Linked DNA regions of Caenorhabditis elegans. The protein of the gene in region 1 purifies or fractionates together with the protein of each later gene. This does not show direct contact. Each region holds a gene or a part of one and is shown on either strand. Other genes may lie near its edges.

Region 1 (5,195 bases):
CTGGTTCCAGCTATAACGATAGTTGTGCCATACCAACGTCTGCAAGAAACATCTGAGATAACGTTGTCGCAGGCGGTCGCTGAAGGCGTGTAGATAAACTGAAAGTCGGTTGAACCGGTCTTGTTAAAGATCGAAACTCACATCACCTAGAGTAGAATCGTATGTCGTACAGTTGAGCTGAAGGCCAATAGCTGCTTGAGAACCGCTTGTAAAAATTACAGAAACGACAAAAAATGTCAGAAAATGCATTTAAAATTGATCGATTGAACTGGTCACTCTGTTTTTATATCAACGAATTATTGGATTTGTTTATTCAGATGGTTTGTTAGAAATCATTGCTAAAAGCATTGTGGTCATTAGACAAAAGATTGTTTAACATCTGTATATTCCTAAAACATTACAAATTACAATAAAAACGTGAAACATCTAAACAAACAAAACATATGTAAGCTGATATAAAAGGCGATTGTACGGTACAATCTGACCAGCTTCGATGTATATTATTAAAAACCTATGTATTTTTATTTGCATGATCTCGGGTGTCAAGTTGGAAGTCGGCCCAGACTTTAACTGCACTAGATATGACTCCACATTGGGCGACGTAAGTGACAGAAAATTTTTAAGGAAAAGAATATCTGAAAACTGATTTGTGTTCATTAAATATTTCATTTAGCATGTCTGGTTACCATCCGCTGTTGCCTGCGACAACGTTTACCCGGATTATGTTTGCCAAAATCTCATGTTAGCTGGGCCTCCACCTCGTGTGGGGATCAGTGAAATCCGCACCTACAGGTGCTGGAGCGAATTACCAAATCCAGTACCCCCTTATTCGGCTCATCCGGATGTCATCAGAGATGCTGCATTAGCATGCCCGAAGACTTGTGCACTTTGCTGTATGACTAGTGCCTATAACTGCCGAAATGCTGAGTGTGAGTCACAACCAAATTTCTGTACATACACCAACTTTCTTACAGTTCCCCGGCTCAACTGTGCCACCATCGTTCCTGCTCAGTGTAGAGATCAACGCTGGCGAACAATAATTGCACAAGATTGCCCATCGGCTTGCGGATTCTGTAATCTTGGAGGATGTGTAGACGCAGTGGCTGACTGTGCAAATGACCCCTCAATCTGTAACTCGATTGGAATGCAGGTCTTCGTGAACCAGAACTGCCAACGGACATGCTCCAGGTGTCCATCTTCCACCAGTGCTCGAATTTCTTCCTCGACAACTTCTATCACTTCCACTTGTAGCTCGTACAACCCAGATTCCAGTTCTTCGTGTGCTGCGTGGGCGGCCAATGGCTTTTGCACTAACACCCACTATACGGTAGCAAGACGAAAAGCAACATGCGCAACTACTTGCAGAATTTGTTAACTATTATATTCAGTGCATTGATTATTTATTTATAGGAGCAAAAAAGATATTTAATTTTATTAAACTTCACATTTTGAAGCAATTAGTAATACATACATCCCTCTTTTTTTGCAAAATGTAATGGCCATTGTTGTACATGTTTGTTCAGGTTTGATTGTGAGCTTGTTTGAGTCCGAAGACCCATTGTCATGTGATGTGCAGAATTTGTATCTACTCTGAACATTGAAAGTGGATTAGCGCCAGTGGAGAAGAAAAAACTACTCTTATGATGTCAAAATAACCGAATATCATAATAATTTTTTAATTTACTGTCAAAAAAATGACAATTACTCAGTTTCTGCCACTCATAAATTTGAAAATCCACAAAAAAAACTGTTTTCCCACATTTTTAAACGTTCATAATATTTTAATTATTTATGTTTAAACATTGTAGGGGTCGGAACATGTGACATTGCTTTGGATTTCCTCAAAAGCTCATATTTTTCAAAAATTTGGCAAATTGCCAAAACTAAATTATAAAAAAATATAAACTTTCTCGGAGTGTTTTATTGTGATGCTCGGTCGTTTTAGATTATTATAAATGTATTTAGACAAAATACCCACTGGCGCTGCTCCACCTTTGATGGTACGACCCGTATTTAAAGAGAGCACATCGCCAATGGGGTAATTACGGGAAAATGAAAATAAAAAACTTCTAAAAGTGTGACTTTCAAAAAATGTGACTGCTTTTCAAAACTTTCAAGTGTTCAAAATTTTTCAAATTCTAAGATTTTGTTTCTAATAGTAAGCAATTTTTTTTTCAATTTTTCCAAACTCCAAAATGTTTGTCTTGAAATATTTACAATTATTCTTGTCAAATTAGCTTCTTTTTTCTAGAACTTCAATTTTTGTGTCTGGGAGAGTATTTAATTTCTTCATAAATCTTCCAGCATAATACGTTGTGTTTCCTCCTCCTCTTTGCCTATACACAACAAGCACAAGTCTCCGATATTTTGTGTCCTCTTCTACCGTCTGCGTCTCTTGTACCATCAATGTCACAGTTTCGGGGTGGGTATATAAACATACTCACCCAATAATTTACATGTCACAATTTCGAGAGATTGCTCATTATGGCTCGTTTTTCTGGAAAAGTTGCTCTGATCACAGGTGAGTAAGACTTTACTTTATTTTTTGAAAGAAATCTCATCCTTAAAAACATCTTTAATGTCAAGACAAAGGCTTTAATGTCAAGATTGTGCTCATTGGTTCAATTTTGTCAAACAAAAGGCTTAGAATTTCAATTTCAAAACTCATGAATGTTTTTCTTAGGATCTTCCAACGGAATTGGCCGTGCCGCCGCTATCCTCTTTGCTCAACAAGGGGCCAAAGTTACCATAACCGGAAGGAATGCTGAGCGGCTGAAGGAAACCCGACACGAAATAAAAAAATCTGGAATCCCGGCAGAAAATATTCTTGCGATTGTAGCCGACGTGATCACAGATGAAGGACAGATGAGGCTTATCAACGATACTGTTCGAAAATTTGGTCACCTTGACATTTTGGTGAACAATGCCGGAGGAGCATTGATGGATGCTCAGGGGCGTGTTGGAATGGATCAGGATATTTCGGTGTTCGATAACACTATGCAGATCAATATGAGAAGTGTGGTTACTTTGGTGCAAAAGGCCAAGGAGCATTTGATCAAATCAAAGGGAGAAATCATTAATGTTTCTGCCATGGCAGCAGGACACCATGGGGTAAGTTTACGCTGGAACTAAACTTTAATTCAACTTTCCACAGGACCCCATAGCAACTTTCTACGGAATGTCCAAGGCAGCTCTTGATCAGTTCACTAGAAGCTCTGCGATTTCTCTGATCCAACACGGAGTCCGCGTGAACTCCGTCAGTCCTGGATTTACTAAGACAGGATTCGGAGAAGCCATGGGATTTCCACCAATAGCGATGAAAAAGGTAAACCTTATATTGTGATCTTTTTAAAATATTTATTAAACCAGGTCATAAGCTTCTACGAATCCCACAAGGAGTGTGCTCCGAGTGGTGCAATTGCTCAACCTGGAGACATTGCTCAAGTCATTCTATTCTTGGCGGATAGAACCATGTCCTCATACATCATCGGACAATCAATCATAGCTGACGGAGGATCCTCGTTGGTGATGGGAATGCACGCTCATGATATGCTTGACATTTTGAAGGCATGAATTGGGGAGGCGTTCTTCTCCTTTTTTGTTGATAAATCACTGAACACGTAAAAAATAACTTTTTTCAAAATAACTTCTTTCCTCTCTTTTTTTGTTTGACACATTTTTAAAGTTTTATATATCTCCTATTTTCGTATTTTCAAATAAATATTTTTTCTCGAATAACAACTTTTTGAAAATTCCGAAAATTCTGGAATTTTCTGGAACCGTTTGGAAAATTTGGAAAATTCTGAAATGATCCAAAATATCTAGAACGTTCTGAAACTTTCTGAAAAATTCAAGAAAACTTTGGGATGTTCTAGAACATTTCGGAAAATTCCAAAATTTTTGAATTTTCTGGAACCTTCTAAAAAGTTTAAGAAAATAGTGACTGACATGAAGTGAAAACTTCCGAAAAATTCGATGAAATTGTGGAATCTCTTGAAACGTTGTGGAATTTTCTGAAACCTCCACGGCAATTCAAGCAGTTTCAAGAACAAAACTGTTAGTTGTTTAAGAAAAACGGAAACCATGCAAATTCCGTCAAACAACATTAGTAAAACTTTTCTACTAAATAAAGATTTTAGAGCGCTATGTGTTGAACTACGTTATCATTTCTTCGTATTTTTCAATTAGTATCGCGCCCTCCAACAATCTTGTGTGGCTACGCCAATGTTTAAATCATATCTTCATTCAAAAACATTCCTCAATTAAGTTGAAGAGTTCGAAACAGTTCTAATACACAAGTTGAGCTTATCCAGTTCTGAGACCAGTGACCTTCGCTTCCGAACGAACCAATTTTGGAGCTTTACCACAGATGTAGAGCATCGTTTCATATGCATTGCCACCTGTCAGCGGGCTGAAATAAAACTTTTATTAAGCTTTATTCATTGTATTAACCTACTGAATATGTAGCGGACGAGAATTTGATCTTATGGAAACGTATTGATTGGGTAGCGATGTATAGGATTGAAAATCAGTCATATAATCAGTGTTTGAAGCAACACCATTTTCCCAACTTGCTGTCCGAGTTTTCCCTAGTCCAGCGTCGCAATCAGTCTCACATGGTGCTCTTCCTCCGGTGAAGTAATGATTATCTGCTGCATTTTTGGGTTCGTTCACTGAAAACAATTACTTTTTTTCAAAAAGTCAGAAGCAAATTGCTTTAAGAGACGCCCATGGTATTACAAACACCAAATATCATACAAAAAACCATTATCTTACTTAAAGCTCTCACTGCATCCAATTCAGCTTGCGAATCGAATCCAGACAATGCCGCACCAATACTGCTGCAACGATCTATTGCGTTAGTGTATGCAAGTGGTTGGTCAAAGTTCAACTGAATATTTTAATGAGTTTTGAAAGACTTTTTAACTTTTAACTTACGTAGTGACAGAACTGTGTTTGACCCGTCCGGTTGTATACCAACATTACGTTAGCCCATGCTGGCTTTTCATCACAGCCCGCGTACGACCAACTGAATGAGTCTGAAAAATTGTCTAAAATTATTTGACGATGTTGTTTGTTAACTAACGCATTGCACAAATACCAGGAGCTCGCATTGCAGCCATTGTAGCATACCGTTCCTTTCTGAAAAACATTTTTTGAGAGCTGCCACGTTGATAGAATCACAACTTACGCGT
Region 2 (6,206 bases), on another chromosome or scaffold:
TTCCCTCTGCAGCGCCTCTGAAATTTCTCCAAGAGGAGTCCGAATAGAGACGAGCCACAGCTTGAGCACATCCTTCAAAGTCATTCCACAGCTTATCGTTTTCCGTCAGATCCTCAGTACAATCACAACGACGGTGGGCACCGCCAGTTCTCGAAGAACAGCTCGAGTGATGATTCGACATATTATGCGAACTGAAAACATTAACATAATTTTTTATTAAAAGAAAGAACTGTCGGAAATCAAGTTCGAGAATATTAGAAAAAAAACGGGGAATTTTAAATGTTATAATTAATGTTTTCAACAAAGATTAGGCAATCGCGTGAGCAAGGTTTCATTCAACAAAACGAATATCGATTAGCTACACAATCTCATCAGTCTTTCAATTGCATGGGAGTTATGCTCCCCGAGCAAGTTCTAAGCGACTAATTTATCGATTTCTGGGTGAACATCAGCATCAGATGACGAAATAATTACAGAATAAAGATAGTTAGATGGAGAGAGTGAGAAAGATTGGAAAACGATTGGGTGCGTCCGGTCAAGAAATTGAGAGGAGAAGTTATCTTAAAGATGAAATGAAAAGATAGAAATGAAGGATTTATTGGTAAATTTGCAAGATTTGAGGTAAAAAATGAGTTATGGAAAATTTAAAACCAATTTTTCAAGGATGAGCAGTTGAAATATGAATGACTCATTACGAATACACTAGAGAAAAAGCTAATCGGGGAAATAAATGGCTGGGAAATTAATAATGTTTAAAAAACAGCTCTTGTAAAACTATTTTGTATTCAGAGTATGAAAGCAGGGCATAAAAGATAACTAAAAACATGAACGATTGGCGTCGAATCATTGCGAAAAACGTGGGTATACAGAGGCCGTTATTCGAGGTTTTCAGAATTATCAATTGAGATTCAATTGCATGTTTTCATAAAAACCGACAGGAATAAGCCATTTCTTCCGATTTTTTTTTCGAAATTTTGCGAAAATCGATGGGGAAACAATGAAAAAAGTGTCTGAAACGGGCAGAAAATGAGGAAAAGAGAGTAAAGAGAGAGAGCGGCCGAAACAAAACATTCGATTAGCAATGGAGCATGTTTGCTGACTCATGTGTCGACAGTTTAAATGCTTTTTGATCATCTGTTTATGAAGTTTTTCAACATTTTTATTGATTTTCAGAACTGGAGATTTTATTGCTATTTTTTAAGAACATAAAATCTAATTTTTTAGTGTGAGAAAGTTCTTTTAAAAGTATTAAAACAAAAGAAAAGCAACACGAGTACTGTATTAAAGGCGCATACCAAAAATCATGAGTCCGGTCTCACGAAGCGTTTGCACCACAATTAAAAGTGCCATTATCGATAGTTATCTTCTCAAATTAAAATTTGTTTCGTCTTTCCGGGTGCAAATCTATTTAAGCTTGAATTTTCATTAAATCACAATGTTTTATTTGCTTAAAACATTTTAACGTGACATTTTCATTTTCAAAGCTAAGTTTCCTTTTTTATTTATTTCTGACACGTGACGATGCTAGTCCGGCCGAGAAAAATGTTTAAAATCCTTAAACGGCCCGACACATTAAGGTATTTTGTTCTCGTTTATTCAATTTTCCCGATATTTGTATTCGTTTCTCAGGCTTTTTTCCTGTTTCAACTTTTATTTTCAGCCTATGCAACCTTCCGTGCGATCAAAAAATGATAACATCGAGAAACAATGATATTGGGAACCTGATAGAACAGGTAAATGTGATAAACGGAGAAAAGTATTTATTGTTAATCAAATTAAGTTTCGTCAACGTGACACGCCACAGAAGGAACGGAAAGCGATTCTCGCTAGAATCGAGGAGATTCTTCAAACTACGAAAAATGTAGAGGTTTGTTTTCCCTTCGGAAGCATTACGGAAAACCAAGAAATTATTATTTTACAGAGTCTTTGTGTAAAATGGACTTATCTTTTGGATAACTTGTGTTGGCCTAGTCTCACAAAACACGATCGGAATGACATGAAAACGCTGGCTGGAAAAGTGATACGACTTGTTGGAGTTTTACTCTTTGATACTGAATCCTATCCAGAGTTTGTGAATTTTGCCATTTGAAGATATAAAATAAAAATTTTTCAGGTTTCTGATTTATCTTGGAACATTATATCAAAGTGTTACGAAGAAAAGTGAAGAAACACGTGCGGATATCGTGTTTTCAGTGTATTTCATCGTTGGAGTCATCAGTCAAAAAACGGAGAATCGTCTAATTGCTACCGACACTGAAAATGTCGAAAAATCATTAGACTGGATAATCAAAGTGCTTCCGAATTCATCAATATCAGTTTATAACCACTGTTTGAAAGGATTTGTACTTGTTGCAAACACATTTCCAAATGTTTATGCTGCAATGTTTGAGGTATTTTATTTGAAAAATAATAAAAAAATTTCGCTTTTTCCAGTCAACCCTCCGAGCAATTCTGACCAACCTTCCCGATTTCAACAGTCATGAAAAGAATTTTGAGCTTCTCATTGATACAGTGATGCGATTTTCTGATCAACTTAATGAGAAGCCTCATTTGGCAGAAGAAATGGTTCGAATTATTCGACCGGATATCAAAAAGAATGGATTGGGAAATATGAGAGAATTGAAGAAACGAATGAAACTGACAATGGCACTCGTGAAAATGGCGAAAAGTCAAAAAATGCTTGAGGAGACTAATCAGATGGTGAGAATATGATGAGGGAACACATTATTTGCTGAAATATCTGAAAATTTCAAAAATAAATTATCTAAAAAAGCTTTAGAAAGGCAAATTCTCAAAAAGTTGAAATATTTATTTTGTTATTTGTGAATAATAAGTTCCAAGGACTTAATTTTGTTCTTTAAAGTGTGATATTGATTTTATTCAATTCATCTTTATTTTAAAATTCAAGTTCGTGGACCAAAAACAGATTTTCCCAACAAAAAGTTAACAAACTGCTTATTATTCTTTTTATTCAATAAATTTCAGATTTCTGAAATGTCTATCGAACTCGAGGAAAACGGAGGAAAATGGTCATCAGCTTCACTTATAACTATCGTTTGTGATGTTTTCAATGAGCTCTTGATATTGGGAAAAGATGATGTAAAATTGCAAAAAGGAGTTGAAGAATCATTGTGCAATGTTCTGAAAGACTTGAATCTTTCTAATCAGAGTACTATGGAGAAACAAGCATTTTTCAATTCTCTTGCAAAGGTTTGGTTTTTTGCCACAAAAATATCCGAAATTAGAGTATTACCCGAAATTTGGCGCTGAAACTAAAACTACGGTACTTGGTCTCGACACGACAACTTTTTGCTAAATGCGAAACGGTGTGCGCCTATTATTACTGTACTTTTAAACCCTTGTTGCTGCGGAATATTGCTATTTTTAAACGTTTTTTTCACGATTTATTAAAATTTATTTGAAAAACTATGATAAAACTTTGATGCACTGAACGAGAATTTGAAACTACTGTAACCTGTAAAGGTGTACATCATTCTGCATTTCCCAAAAATGTTTCGTGTCGAGCGTAGGTGCTGTATTGTTGGCGCAAAATGTTGCGTCTGGGTAATACAAGCTGCTGGTGTATGTAATTGATTTCAGATTGTCAAACAACTTCCAGCAGAGTCACAAGTCAAAACTAGAGTTCATCAGATTGTTTTCAACACGGAAACTGGACTTTTCACACCCAAAAACCGCGATAATCGAATGTTTGGGTGAGAAAAAGTTTTTAAGTCGATGCTCTATCGTATCGGGGAGTACGATGTTTTTCAAAATCAATTTTTATAATTTCAGACATAATATGATATACAAGGATCTTATCAATCTTGTCTCTGTGCTTCTTACGCCTACATCACTCAATCATCTACAAGCGACATATACGGATTTGAGGAAAATAATGATAGGTTAACTTTAATTAAATCTGTGAATTCAATTGATTAATTATTTCCAGATAGCATGTCACGATTGAAGCAAAGTGAAGATACTCCGTATAGTGATAATATTCGATGGAATGAATCAATCCTTTTGCTTTTCTTTTCGTCACTTCAAAGTATATCATGTGCCAAGAGTTCTCTTATTGTGGTTTGTTTAAAAATAACAATTATTTTCGCAGAAAACAACGATTTTTAACAATTAAAGAACAAATTTTAGATGATGGGAATCCGTCCGTCAATTTTTGAATTCTTCTCATCGGAACTTCCACTCACAGAATATTGGCTTGCTTCAAATCATCCAGAAGTCTATCACCTATTTATCACAATATTTGTTGGACATTTGAAAGCGTGAGTATGACAGAATAAATACTTTAATAAATCAATTCTTTCAGTCACGACTTCTACATTGTTCAATCTGATTATATTGTTCGTGGTGATAGCATTGGACAAAGTATAGGACAAACGAAACGAGATTATGCACGGAAACAAGTTGTTGCTCTACAGAAAATTATCAACAATTTTGGAGACAAATTGTGGAAGAAGACTAGGTTTATTCTTGAGCATTCATTATATTTTATTTTCAATTTTTAATAAATTGTGATTCAGACTGATGATATCTTCATGGCTTCACTCTCTCATTGCAACTGCTTGTGAACATCAAATCGGAAGTGATAGTTTCAGTCAACGAGAATGGGTTCGATTAAGGAATACTGTCATTCATCAGTCGGTGCTCACATGGAATAATGAATGGTATACACTTGAATTGCTTGAATTTCTAGCAGTTTTCACATTTTCTCAATCATTTGTACCAAGCAACACTTGCTGGAAAATCAAAAAAAAATCAATTTTTAAAATATCCCGCTACGCGCCCAACATTGAAATATATAATTCCTGGGACTTCTTTTTGGAATTTTAATTAAAAATAATTATATTCCGTATTTTGATAATTTAAAATTCTTTCACTTATTTTTGAGAAGTTTGCATGTTGGATATCAACATACTAAATAGTTTTCTGGGAAGTGGCCAGGTTTTTCGGTTGTAGGAAAGACTTGTATTATATTGTTCATTGAAAACAAGTATATCAATAGTATTCTTTTCTGAATTGGCACTTATAAAAGTGAAATCGAGATGCTGAAAACTAGTTTCTTCTGTCAGTTTCAGTTTAGATTGATTATAGTTCTTTTCTCTCTATTCTCCTCATATTTTCTAAAAATTTGAACTAAGTTATATATTTTCAGTGTAAATCAAGCATTGACCATCCTCTCCACTGCTACAAAATGGTCAGAACTGACGTCAGACATCCATCGAGATATTGCGGATAAAACGAAAAAAGCAAAGTGGAAGGAGGCAACGACAATTTGGGAATCTGGAGATTGTAATACTTATATCAGGTATTGAAAAGAACTCTTTAAAATTATTTCAAGCTTTTCGATTTTATTCCACTATTTGATTCAAAAAAATGTTTGCACTCAATATGTTTCAAAGAGTGTTTATGTATTTATGACTATCGAAAAAAAAAAGAACTGAATGACGGATAATCGGTGTCTACATTCAGGCGGCGGTCACGTATACTCTAAACAATTTTGAATTATTTTTGACATTCTTTGTGAAGTTTTAAACCTGTAATTAGCTAAATCGAAATGATGAAAGACGGAAAACGCAAGATTTTATTTGAAAACTTTGTATAAAACTGGTATCTTTCACCCTCAAATCTGGTTATTTCAGTTTAAAAACTAGAGAGCATTAGCTCATTGAGCTCTGGTTCTTGTTTATTTATTTACTCGAATGAATAAAACAAGCGACTTTTATTGTTTTCATGCCTACTTGCACCTGCGTCTAACTAACTAACTATTAGGCGAGAGTTTCTGCATGAATTACACACTGGAAATTTGCCCAAAACAAACGTCACTCTACTTGACAGTCTATAGCTTGTTTTCATCGCCTGGAGGTGGAGTAGCGTGAATACGGATTTGCTTTAAAATATTTGAAACAGACTGAAATTCATAAGTACCAGACAAAAAACGAAAAAAAAAGTATTTCTTGTTTTTTATACAACTTCGTAAAAGTAAAATGATTTATTTTCCAGGCAATCCATGTCTACAGTCTATCAAATGTCACAGGAACGACAACAGAAGACAATTACATCGACAAGTTTTGGAGCCGAAGAGTTTATAATAATTACGAATTTCTTGTTGAAACAGGCAACACCAACTACTTTCAAGTGAGTTCATAATTAAAACCTTTCTACGTATAAATTGAGTTCCAGAAAAGGTC
Region 3 (5,492 bases), on another chromosome or scaffold:
AACATCTGGATCTAGGTAACAATGGAATTGTTGCTAACAACACATGTGTGTCTACGTCTCTACATCTCCAATACTATTTCATTTTGTTGTTTTGCAGATGCCGGCGAGTACAAATGTGAGTTGGACACACCACACGGAAAGATCAGCCATAAAGTCTTCATTTATTGTGAGTGAGGGAATGATGGGGCAGGTGACCCCAAGGAAAAAAAAACATGAAAATAATGAAATTGCAGCAAGACCTGTTGTACATTCTCACGAACATTTTACTGAGCACGAAGGACATGAATTCCATTTGGAAAGCACTGGAACTACTGTTGAGGTATGCACATTTTTTGTGGTTTTCCCACTTTTTGGTGAAGCGTGAAAAAAGATTTTGCTCCTGAAGCTACCTTTAATAAACCTCAAAAAATTTGGGTTCTTTTGAATTAAAAAAATCGTTTTAAAGTAATACAAAATAAATATTTTCTAAAAATACAAAACAATTACAGTAATCATTTCAAAAACTTTTTTCCAGAAAGGAGAATCAGTGACATTGACTTGTCCAGTAACAGGATACCCGAAACCAGTTGTCAAATGGACAAAAGATTCTGCCCCACTTGGTAAATCATATTCAAATCTTTTTTTTGTTTCTCACCTGATGAAATTTCAGCTCTCAGTCAATCAGTTTCAATGGAAGGAAGTACTGTAATTGTTACAAATGCTAATTACACAGATGCTGGAACATATTCATGTGAAGCTGTAAATGAGTATACTGTAAATGGAAAAACAAGTAAAATGTTATTGGTCGTTGATAAAATGGTTGATGTTAGAAGTGAGTTTACATATTCTTTTCTGAAAAAAATTTCAAAAAAGCCTCTTAGAAAGTTCGAAGAGCCGAAAATCCGCACCTTCGTCTACATATCTATTTTCAAATTCGCGCGCAAATGGGTTTAATTTCCCGTGTACTCCTCTTGGACTATAAAATAATTAATGTTTTGATATTTTGTATTTTCCTGGGATTTTTCTGAGCAACAGAACAGAATTACTAGGTTTCGAATTGATTTTTTCAGAAAACTGAGAATTGTTGCTTTTTAAAAACATTTTATTGATGGGATGTTTGATTAATTCATAGATTTTTAATCGTCTTCACTGCAATTAAATAAAAGAAGAAATAATGTAAAATTATTAAAAATACGAAACATTGTCAAACATTTAAAAACCCATTTTTTTGTCCGAGAGGGGTACACGCCGAATTTGAAAACAGTTTGAATTCCAAATAGGTTTCTACATCTTGATGTATTTTCCAATTTCTCCGATTTCTGATCGTTTTTATTTCAATTTTCAGGTGAATTCCAATGGGTGTACCCACTTGCTGTTATCTTGATAACCATCTTTTTGCTGGTCGTAATCATTGTTTTCTGTGAATGGAGAAACAAGAAATCCACATCCAAAGCCTAAAATCTGTAATTGGAATCCTTATTTTCTAGGCCTGAAACATCTTTTTGAATACTTTTTTAAACTCAACTTTACGGTGTAAGTACAGCCTTCCTAACAAATTATACCTATAGTATTGCTCTATTCTTTTAAATTTCATATTTGATACCTCAAACGCCTTATTTGCCTCTGCATGTTTTTTTTGTTCAATGTTTCGTTAAATACAATAAAGTTCCAAAAAAGGTTTTAGGAGGAAATTGAGAATGGGACAGACCAGAAAAAAGAAGAGAAATCGGGAAAGTGTTTGAAAAGAGGCTAACTACAGAACATCATTTTCAGAGTTTTTAAAGAACAATTGATGTAAAACTTAGAGAGAATTGTTGTGCGGATCGACAGAACAGTGGTTGTGTATATTGAATACCTGTTTGGAAACGATAGCTGACAGCAACTGATAGAAAAGGGAACAGAAATAGGTTGGGAAGGTGTTGAGAGAATGGAAAATGTGCTTTCAATGTGACTTATGAGAGAGAAAGAAATAGCAAGAAACAGCCTTTTCATGATGATGATTATGATTGGATTGGTTTGCGATTTTCGCGGGAAAAGGGTAAAACGGATAAAAAGTATAAAATAATAGGATAAAACTGAAAAATTAGGAGGGAAAATTGGAAGGGATTACATTTGAATTCCAAACTCCAAAGTGATTGATAAAATACTGTGCACAATATGTTGAGGATGAAACGAGAGATGAACAATTTTCAGAAGAAGATGTGTATACATAAGAAGCTTCCTTTGAAAATCGACTTATTCGCTTGTTGCGTTTGGAGAAGCCGCATCGTGATGCTGAAAATAAACATTTTTGGAAAATTTAAATCCCCTTTTCGCAACATCGTTCAAAGGAAAACGTGTCTCAATTATCAGCTTTCCCATTTTATTGTTTGCGCTTCAAATGCCCTTTCTGCCAATAAGCACACAAACCAGACTGTCAGATAGCTCAAACCAAAGGTTTTTTTTCTGTTTTTCGCCAGTTTAGTTCTCTCCCTCTCGCCTACCACTGATTACGCCTAACAAAACGCGCCAAAGAGCCTAATTGGACGCGTTCTGCGTCTCTATTTGACTGTCAGATCAGGCAACACCACCACCCAAAAAAGTGCAAAAAAATGCGTGAATCCTCGCAATATTTGCTTTGTTGATATCCAATTTTCTCACCTGAACATGCGGCGCTGGGCTCAGTTTGCAGTGCACACTTGGGTTGATAATCGAAGCTTTTCGCTGTGGAACTGTGTCGGGACGCGGAATCTGAAAAAAGAAAACGTTTGTGCTGATCAGCAGCGATCATTGAAAAATCACCTGCAGATTGTCATCATCACTATTTCTATCAGAACTTGGCCGATTTGTCTGCTGTGAGATCGGAGAAGCAGATGGAGACGGAGTGGTTGCTGCTGGTGCAGGACTTCTCTGCGCGACAACTGGGGGAGCTGCTGGTGGAGGTCCTCCGGCCAGTGGATGCGGTTTGGATCCCAATCCTGTTCCAGCTTTCGACTTGTCCATTGCATAATCTCCAGAGTCGAAAAATTTCTGGAAAATAATCGATTTCATTCTGTTGTTTTTAAATATGACTAATTGTCTTCTAAAAATGCTACAGTCTTAATCATACTATTGATGCTCTGCAGCAACAAAAAAACTATGACTCAATAACCGTCCGAGCACAATACCTACCCTCTGTTGCAACTTCTTCTGCAAAAATGAACTGGCCGGTCGAGCAGGAAGTTTACCAGTTGCCGCCAATTTGCCCATAAGCTCTTGCTCTTGCTGTTTCTCTGGTGACAAGGCTCCGGTCGCGATTTCACCACTGCTGACGGCCAACTCTCCGGCTTCTCCTCGCATTTTGATTTTTTGAGTTTCGGGAAGAACTGTCGAAAAGGGCAACAGAGTGTCTAGTTGATCTACCCGAGTTCTGTAAATATTTTAATATATATTTTAAAAATTGATATTCAAAACATAAAAACGATGTACTCAATTTGTTCGAACCGTCGAGAGTTCAAAAATGAGAAAAAAAATTATGTAAAGATAACTACAATGAAAATGAATTGTGAATTAATACTGTCGATCATAGATGTATAGAAGACGAGAGAAGGTTGTCCGAGAGTGGAAATGTTGAAAACAAAAATAATACTGTGTCATAGACATGTCGATTGGACATTTTACAGAAAGAAAATTCTGAAAAAAAACCATTAAATTTGTGTTCCTCGGTTTCTCTCTAACGGGTTTTGAATTAATTTTCAATTGAGACGGAAAGATTTGATGTGCATTACTATCTACTCTCGACGCTCTAGATTTTGCTATTATGGCATCATCATCATCATGTGACAACCAAACAACACTAGCAATAGGGGAAGGGAGAGAGAAAAAAGGAGGAAAAAAACCTATTAATAATTCCAAGCTGCATTTTTCTCATATTACTTGAAAACAACATGGGACGAATGGAAGTGTGAGATAAAATCAATAAGAAAAAAGAAAAACATCGTACAGTTCGGTTGAGTGATCAGTTAAGAGTGAATGCACACTTAAGTGATAAGGCTGGTTGTATAGACAAGACAAGTTTCCTAAAAATAAATGAGACTGACATGTGTGTCATGAGATATTATTGTGTTGAAATGGGCGAAAAGAAGAAGAGCGATGAGGGCTATGTCGAGGATCACCGCCGTTTCCATAGCACCTAATCCGGTAGATATATTATATACGTCAATGGGAATGAAGAGTGGAAGATGCTATGGATAAATCCACAAAGTGGCAAGCAGTCACACTTTTTCTATAGAATAAGACGAAGCGAAATGTTGTTGCTCGGGGCGAGAAAGCCAGAAAAGACGAGGCGCATTGCACGAGCAGCATGGACATGTATGCGTGCGACGGCGCCTGCCCCGGTTCGATAATGAGCAGAAAAAAGCAAATGAGCTTGGAGCAGAGACGGGACGAGGATTGCTATTGAGTTTTTGTGGGTCAATTGTCACGTATTAGCAGGGGATTATATGGACGATGTTCAGTATTATTCCATTAAGATCACAAGCCTTGAAATAAAAGGAATGACATACGAGAAAAACAAAATGTGGAATGGAATGACTCATAGTCAATAAAATGAATTTTGACGAAAACTAAAACGGTTCTATTAAAAATAAGATGAATGGAACAGATAATATTAAATAGATAATAATTGGGATAGTCTTCAGTCCGTCCCACTGATAAATAAATAGGATATCGACTGAGAAGAGAGAGAAAGAGAAAAGCGCTATTTGCACTCAATGTCTCAAGAGTTCTTCGGTTCGAGCACGTGGGAGAAAGGAAGAATCAGTGACGACAGGACGGTTATCAATCAATATGAAATAGTTATGTGATAAGCGGAATATAAACAACATTTTTTGAAAAATAAATGTTTGAACGCCTAGATAAGAGTTTGTAAAGTAGTTTTCCTACAGCAATAATTTTCTGCGAACAAAAATTGAATACATTTTTAATATATAAATAAAAAGTTGAAATTTTAATTGGCGAAAACTTGAGAAACATGAGAATTCAGAAGAAAAACAAAGCGAAATGCGTAGGATTTTCAAAATTAACTGATAAGGTCTCGCCACGATGCGCCAGAAGTAATGCAGAAACTACGGTGGGGAGCAATGTCCCTTTAAAGCTCGTCAGTGTTTACGGGAACATTTTTGTTTCGAAAACAGATTGTAAAATCGAACAAACTTTATTTTTCTAATTCTTTGAATGTTTTCTTATGATTTAATGATAAATATTAAATTTATTAGCTTAAATACATTTATTTTTTAGAACAGCGCAAACGGCAAGACGATCGGGCGTTCAAAAATGCGGAGCGAATCAACAACAAAAACATCAGGTATTTAAAAAAAAGTTATTTTAGCTTAACGAAACAAAGAAATAATTACTAGTCTAGTAAAAATAAACTCAAACCCTCTAAAAACTATAAAGTATCGATTCGTGTGTCATGTCTAGTATCGAACGGCATGGCGCGGGCACTCAGGCCTCTAGCCCCGGTGTGAGAAGAAAGAAAGAGAGACGGCGACAGT
Region 4 (5,580 bases), on another chromosome or scaffold:
AAAAATCTCATGTTTGGATCAACAACGAAAAGATGCGAAAGCGCTCAAGGAAGAACATATTGATGCGTACGTAAAAGAGTTTATGGGTCGTCCACTCAAAGAGATTCAGGTGATATATAAATATGGAAATTTATGTTTCAATACTGTGCTGCCAATGCTTGAAAAAAAACTTGACTATTATGCTTTAAACTAGTTTTTTCTTTCTAATTTTGGCTTGTCATTCTACAACATTTGTAAAAAAAGGCACTCTACCATAGTTTAAAGTTGGAGTACCAAAATTTGAGGCTTTGCTATTTTAGACCCAACAATTCAGCGCATATACGCCCAATAAAAGACCAACAAATTTATTAAAGAGTGATCAATAAATAAAAATTAAGTTCCAGACGCTGCGACACCGAGAAGTTGTAAAAATTGTGATTTTAGCTGCAAAACCTTTTTTCCGACTTTGAACCTCCATAACTTTTTTTGAGGAATTTTCAAAACATCTCATTCGAATTTCGGTACTCCACCTTTAAACAAAAATCTCCCAAAACTATCGATATGTATTCCAAAAATTTCAGACGTTCTTCGACAATGTCAACAACTTTATCGAAACGCGTGGAATTCGTCCTGATGAAATCTCGTATCAACAACAATTCAGTCGCATTGAGCTTAAAAAGGTTGAATTTCTAGTTAATCATCAAAATCGCCATTTCATAAATTTTCCAGGTAATTTCACAACATCCGGGAAAAGAAGTGAAAAAAGGACTCGAGCAACTGTACAAGAAAATTGAGAAGAACCTGGTTGCCAATTCATCACTTTTGCAAGTTGTATGGAGAGATATGCAAGAGCAATTTGTCAAGCAAATTGCGGAATACAACAAACTGATTCTCACTTGTTACCCAGGCTCGAAGATTGAGCTCGAAGTTTCCACTGACACTGTACTTCAGTTCTTCTCAGAAATTGCTCAACAACACTAATATTACGACGAATAATTTTATTGAATTTTGTTGTTTTAATTCATTTAAAATTTAGTTTTAATTTATCAGAACTCTAATACTTACTGAACCATGCTTTGTAATATATTTATTTATCTATTCTGTAATAGGTGAACTTCGTTACATTACTGATGTCTGTAATATAAATTTACGGGTGTTCCCCATTCGAAAATAGTAGTAATGCTTGCTTTTTTGAAAAATAAATGTCTTGCTTGGTGACTTTTATTTCACGTATTTTCAAATGCTCACAAAAATTTCACGGAACTGACTTCTTGGTTACACATTTGTAGAAATTTTGACTGAATGTTTGCATTGAACTGGTCAACTTAAGAATCTGACATGCAAATGGTGTGTTTTCTGAAGAACACACTTTGGCAACTTTTAATAAAAAAGGGGTGTAACACGATTTAAATCTAATAAAAACAACTTCTATAATGTTATTCCGTTTATATCTCACTTTATGTTTTACATTTTACTCTTATATACATTTTTTGACTCATTTATACAGGGTGGTCCATAATTATGGACCACCCTGTACTTATATCTTATTTAAAACTATTTCATGTAAGAATTGTTTTAACAGCGCATTTTTTTTCATCACTCGATTTAAAGGTAAAATTGATAGGCCGCAATCTATTTTGGAAAACTTCAGAACAAAATTTAACATTTTAAGAGGTAACTGTGAAGGTTTATAAGAGAATTATAAACCGATCTAACCACTAAACATGGTAACGTAGAAAAAGTAAAATTAGGGGAGGGGGGATGTTTATTTATTCTTGGTTTTCAATTCTTATCAGACTCTGTAAAGTAAAATGAACATAACTTGTTCGAATAGTGTAGGAATTTCAAACAAGCTACAAATCTAGCTCCACATACGCGTGGAATAGCCGGTCATAAATCGTCTTCCGTTAACCGCATGGCTAGATCCACACCGATTCCATTTTTCTTGAATAAAACAATAGCTTGATGAAAATTGGGTAGCCACCGAAAAAACTGATTCGCGATCCGGATTATTGGTGACAAACATACGGCAAGTGAAAGTGTTGCACTGATAGAAACCGATACGAGAATATGCCTTTTGGGCCCCCCCCCCCCCCCCCCTACGGCTTCACTCCCGGTGTTGTAGATCTGACTTTCACTTGCCTTATCTCGAGGAATCTGGAGAGGAGAAGGAGGGACAACCGATCCGCGCGCGCGTAACAATACGGGAGATATAGAGGAAAAGCAGCAAAAAGACATTTTGATGACCTTATTTTCTTGTCGTTGTCGAGACGGCCATTGTCCCTTCCACGCCCAGCTTTTCATTGTAGTTCAAATCGCTTCTCATTGACAATCAACCTGCCAATTGTTTCTCGGATGCATACGCCGATCATATTCCTTTTGGCTTTAGTGCCAGTGGCCCTTGCCTCCTACTGTGGACAATCAGCTATTCCATACACTTTCCAAGTGAGCAACTCCTTGATTTTTAAAGAACAGAAAACTAATAAAGCCCATGATTTGTAACTGTACATATACTAAATGTTCACTTTAGGTACTAAGATCTGGCTACCCTGTTCTTGGGTGTGCAAGACCAAAATGCTTCGGATGGACTGCAAATGGAACAAGAGCTGGAGAAACTGCTCAATTCTATAGAGTTGCTGGAAAGGATGATGGATACCTCAGAAGATCCGATCAATTCATCAAGAGCCCAAGCAAAAATCCAAACTTTGTTCCACAACTTGCGGTTTGTCATTTATATGTATTTGCAAAAAAAAACGGTGTACTTTGTTTCAGATTTGCACTGATGAATACAAATCAAAAACATGCGAGGAGGGAGAGTGGGTTGGAGGGCTTTCACCACAATCGGATCCATTCGCTGACCAACTGGAGGTATGTTGAAAATGAAAAGTGAAATGACAATTTAATTAATCTTCCAAACATCGTTTAGATGAAATGCTGCAGTTATCAAGTTCTTATCAGCGCAGAGGATCGCGGAAACGCTATTGTTAAGCAAGGACAATTGGTAGTTGGAGGAGAGGTTTTGGATGGTTCTAGACTTGTTGCTTTTGATTACATCTCGAATTTGAGCAAGAGTGTTTCCGAAAATGGAACGTGAGTTTTATTCCCTCTCGAAACTAAGACCAATTTAATTCAATTTAAGCGTTGTTTACGTTGCTTCTATCAAGCGAATGCCATGCTTCGACGAAGAGCAAGCTGTGGAGAACAAGAAACGAGAAGTGAGAACTTTTCAGGCAAATGCTCAAATATTTCCGATTAATTTGGATGATACACTATTTATTTGGAGTAATTTCAGAACACAATCGTCGAGGCCGCCGCCGTTGTTGAACAACCAGCAACCACCCCAACAGCTTCTTCTGTTGTCACTCACCAACCATCAGTCACAGTTCCACAACAGGGAGCTCCACTTAACATTCAACCATATGCTCCACAACAACAACAAGTCCAACAGCCAGCTCAAGTCGCTTACCCGGGAGTTGTGAATCCAGCCACAAACTACGGACAATTTTCTCAACAAGCGTACGGAGTCGCACAAAATGGACAATGTGAGTATAGAACAATCAATTATGGTTAATATAGATTGCATGTTTTAGATTCTGGATATCCACAATATGCTCAACAGCAACCTCAGCCACAATACTACCAAGACCCATTTGCCGCAATGCTTCAACAACAGCACCAAGCATTCCAGCAACAAGGTTAGCATCGCCTAATTTCAGAATCACAATGAGATATATCCCATTTTCCAGTTTATGCTAACCAGCAGCAGCAACAACAACAGATGCAGCAGCAGCAGCAGCAACAACAAGCACAACCACAGCAACAGCAGCAACCAGCTCAGCCACAGCAACAACTTGGATTTGCCCCACTCCCACAGTTCCCACAACCAATGATGTTCCAAGCTCCACAAGTTGTCGCTCAGCCAGGAGTAGCAGCAGCAGCAGGAGTTCCACAAATGCCAATTGGTGCTCTTCCACAAATGCCGGTTCAAATGACATCTACACTTCCACCAATGACCCTCCCAAAACTTGAGGATCTTCCAAAGCTTCAAATTCCAAGCGTAGAAGATGTTGAGCAGGTCATCCCACCAGTCCAGCGTGCCATTCTAACCAGTGTTGCCAAATTTTTCGGAGTCCTCTAAAAGCGCCAACTAGCTAGCCTCAATTATCACATATGATTTCATTTGTCCCATTTCGAAAGCTCGTACTAATAACACAAAAATCTACTATTTATCTGAGAACAGTAATAAATACAATTTTCAATTATGACTTTACAAAACAAAAAAACGGAAAAAGGAAATAATACTCGAACAATTGGAATACGCAAATGGCGCATTTTGTATGTGGGATGAAAATTCACAAGTAAACACGTCAAATACCGAGCAGGCCGGTGAAATGGCAACATAATAGTATGGATTAAGGCGGAGTGGGTAGTGCTGGAAATTTAGAGTGGAATGTTTCCGTGCTTCTTCCATGGGTTCTTCAACTTCTTGCTTTCAAGCATGTTCAAATCCTCGCACACCTTCTTTCTGGTCTCTGATGGAATGATAATGTCGTCGACGAATCCTCTGACAGCGGCTGGGAACGGGTTGCTGAACAGCTCAGTGTATTCCTCCTCGTGTTGAACGGCGTGCTCCTTATCATTACGGAAAAGAATGGAGACTGCACCCTTGGCTCCCATCACAGCAACCTCAGCAGTTGGCCAGGCGTAGTTGATGTCTCCACGAAGATGCTTTGATGACATGACATCGTAAGCTCCTCCGAAGGCTTTGCGAGTAATGATGGTAATCTTTGGAACGGTGGCCTCGGCAAAAGCGTAGAGAAGTTTGGCTCCGTGACGGATGATACCTCCGTACTCTTGGGCAGTTCCTGAAAAGATATTTGATTTAATATTTGAAATACTTTCAATCGGGAAAATTTACCTGGCAAGAAACCGGGAACGTCAACCAAAGTGATGATTGGGATGTTGAAAGCATCGCAGAATCGGACGAAACGAGCTCCTTTCACGGAAGAGTTGATATCAAGGCATCCAGCAGCAAACTTTGGATTGTTTCCAACAATTCCGACAGTGCGTCCGTTCATTCTGGCGAATCCAATGACCAAGTTCTTGGCGTAGTCTGGCATAATCTCGAAGAAATCTCCCTCGTCGACAAGAGCGTGAACAACGTCCTTCATGTTGTAGGCAGCAGTGCTTTCCAATGGAACAACAGTATCCAAAGATGGAACAGCTCTGTCCCATGGATCCTCAGCAGCACGGATTGGAGCAGCATCAGTGTTGGAGAGTGGAAGATAGTTGAAAAGCTCTCTGAGGCTCATGAGCGCATCAACATCGTTGTCGAAAGCACCGTGAGCGACTCCAGAGGTGACAGTGTGAGTCTTAGCTCCTCCAAGTTCCTCCTGGGTGACCTCCTCGTTGGTAACAGCTTTGACAACATCTGGGCCAGTGATGAACAAATAGGAGGTATCACGAACCATGAAAGTGAAGTCGGTTAGAGCTGGCGAGTAGACGGCTCCTCCAGCACATGGTCCCATAATCATAGAGATTTGAGGAACGACACCAGAAGCCATCACGTTCTCTTGGAAGATATCGGCATACCCAGCAAGC

What was found.
Region 2: the proteins of F26D2.15 (region 1) and smg-1 fractionate together in Caenorhabditis elegans (co-fractionation; one large-scale study listed by BioGRID). This does not show direct contact.
Region 3: the proteins of F26D2.15 (region 1) and ensa-1 fractionate together in Caenorhabditis elegans (co-fractionation; one large-scale study listed by BioGRID). This does not show direct contact.
Region 4: the proteins of F26D2.15 (region 1) and wrt-2 fractionate together in Caenorhabditis elegans (co-fractionation; one large-scale study listed by BioGRID). This does not show direct contact.

The regions. Positions count from the first base shown.
Region 1 is NC_003283.11:16,435,362-16,440,556, forward strand, and holds F26D2.15 (DeHydrogenases, Short chain), read left to right. Parts: upstream 1-2,484; coding exon 2,485-2,521; intron 2,522-2,683; coding exon 2,684-3,111; intron 3,112-3,154; coding exon 3,155-3,325; intron 3,326-3,369; coding exon 3,370-3,573; 3' UTR 3,574-3,711; downstream 3,712-5,195. Other genes in the region: F26D2.13 (ShKT domain-containing protein), read right to left, coding at 1-98, 142-249; F26D2.14 (ShKT domain-containing protein), read left to right, coding at 494-601, 674-929, 975-1,375.
Region 2 is NC_003279.8:6,909,034-6,915,239, reverse strand, and holds the start of smg-1 (Serine/threonine-protein kinase smg-1), read left to right. Parts: upstream 1-1,688; coding exon 1,689-1,733; intron 1,734-1,780; coding exon 1,781-1,867; intron 1,868-1,921; coding exon 1,922-2,067; intron 2,068-2,113; coding exon 2,114-2,390; intron 2,391-2,433; coding exon 2,434-2,700; intron 2,701-2,985; coding exon 2,986-3,210; intron 3,211-3,600; coding exon 3,601-3,713; intron 3,714-3,792; coding exon 3,793-3,902; intron 3,903-3,949; coding exon 3,950-4,080; intron 4,081-4,149; coding exon 4,150-4,280; intron 4,281-4,324; coding exon 4,325-4,480; intron 4,481-4,538; coding exon 4,539-4,682; intron 4,683-5,170; coding exon 5,171-5,323; intron 5,324-6,018; coding exon 6,019-6,153; intron 6,154-6,192; coding exon 6,193-6,206. Other genes in the region: haps-1 (Essential protein Yae1 N-terminal domain-containing protein), read right to left, coding at 1-181.
Region 3 is NC_003279.8:9,848,425-9,853,916, forward strand, and holds ensa-1 (mRNA stability protein), read right to left. Parts: upstream 3,368-5,492; 5' UTR 3,298-3,367; coding exon 3,130-3,297; intron 2,989-3,129; coding exon 2,761-2,988; intron 2,710-2,760; coding exon 2,620-2,709; intron 2,254-2,619; coding exon 2,215-2,253; 3' UTR 1,574-2,214; downstream 1-1,573. Other genes in the region: Zwei Ig domain protein zig-1, read left to right, coding at 98-166, 234-319, 515-599, 650-811, 1,325-1,437.
Region 4 is NC_003284.9:3,091,051-3,096,630, reverse strand, and holds wrt-2 (WaRThog (hedgehog-like family)), read left to right. Parts: upstream 1-2,281; 5' UTR 2,282-2,334; coding exon 2,335-2,424; intron 2,425-2,509; coding exon 2,510-2,701; intron 2,702-2,751; coding exon 2,752-2,847; intron 2,848-2,905; coding exon 2,906-3,069; intron 3,070-3,118; coding exon 3,119-3,194; intron 3,195-3,271; coding exon 3,272-3,521; intron 3,522-3,569; coding exon 3,570-3,674; intron 3,675-3,725; coding exon 3,726-4,117; 3' UTR 4,118-4,236; downstream 4,237-5,580. Other genes in the region: sec-3 (Exocyst complex component 1), read left to right, coding at 1-109, 561-659, 709-960; pccb-1 (Propionyl-CoA carboxylase beta chain, mitochondrial), read right to left, coding at 4,420-4,844, 4,898-5,580.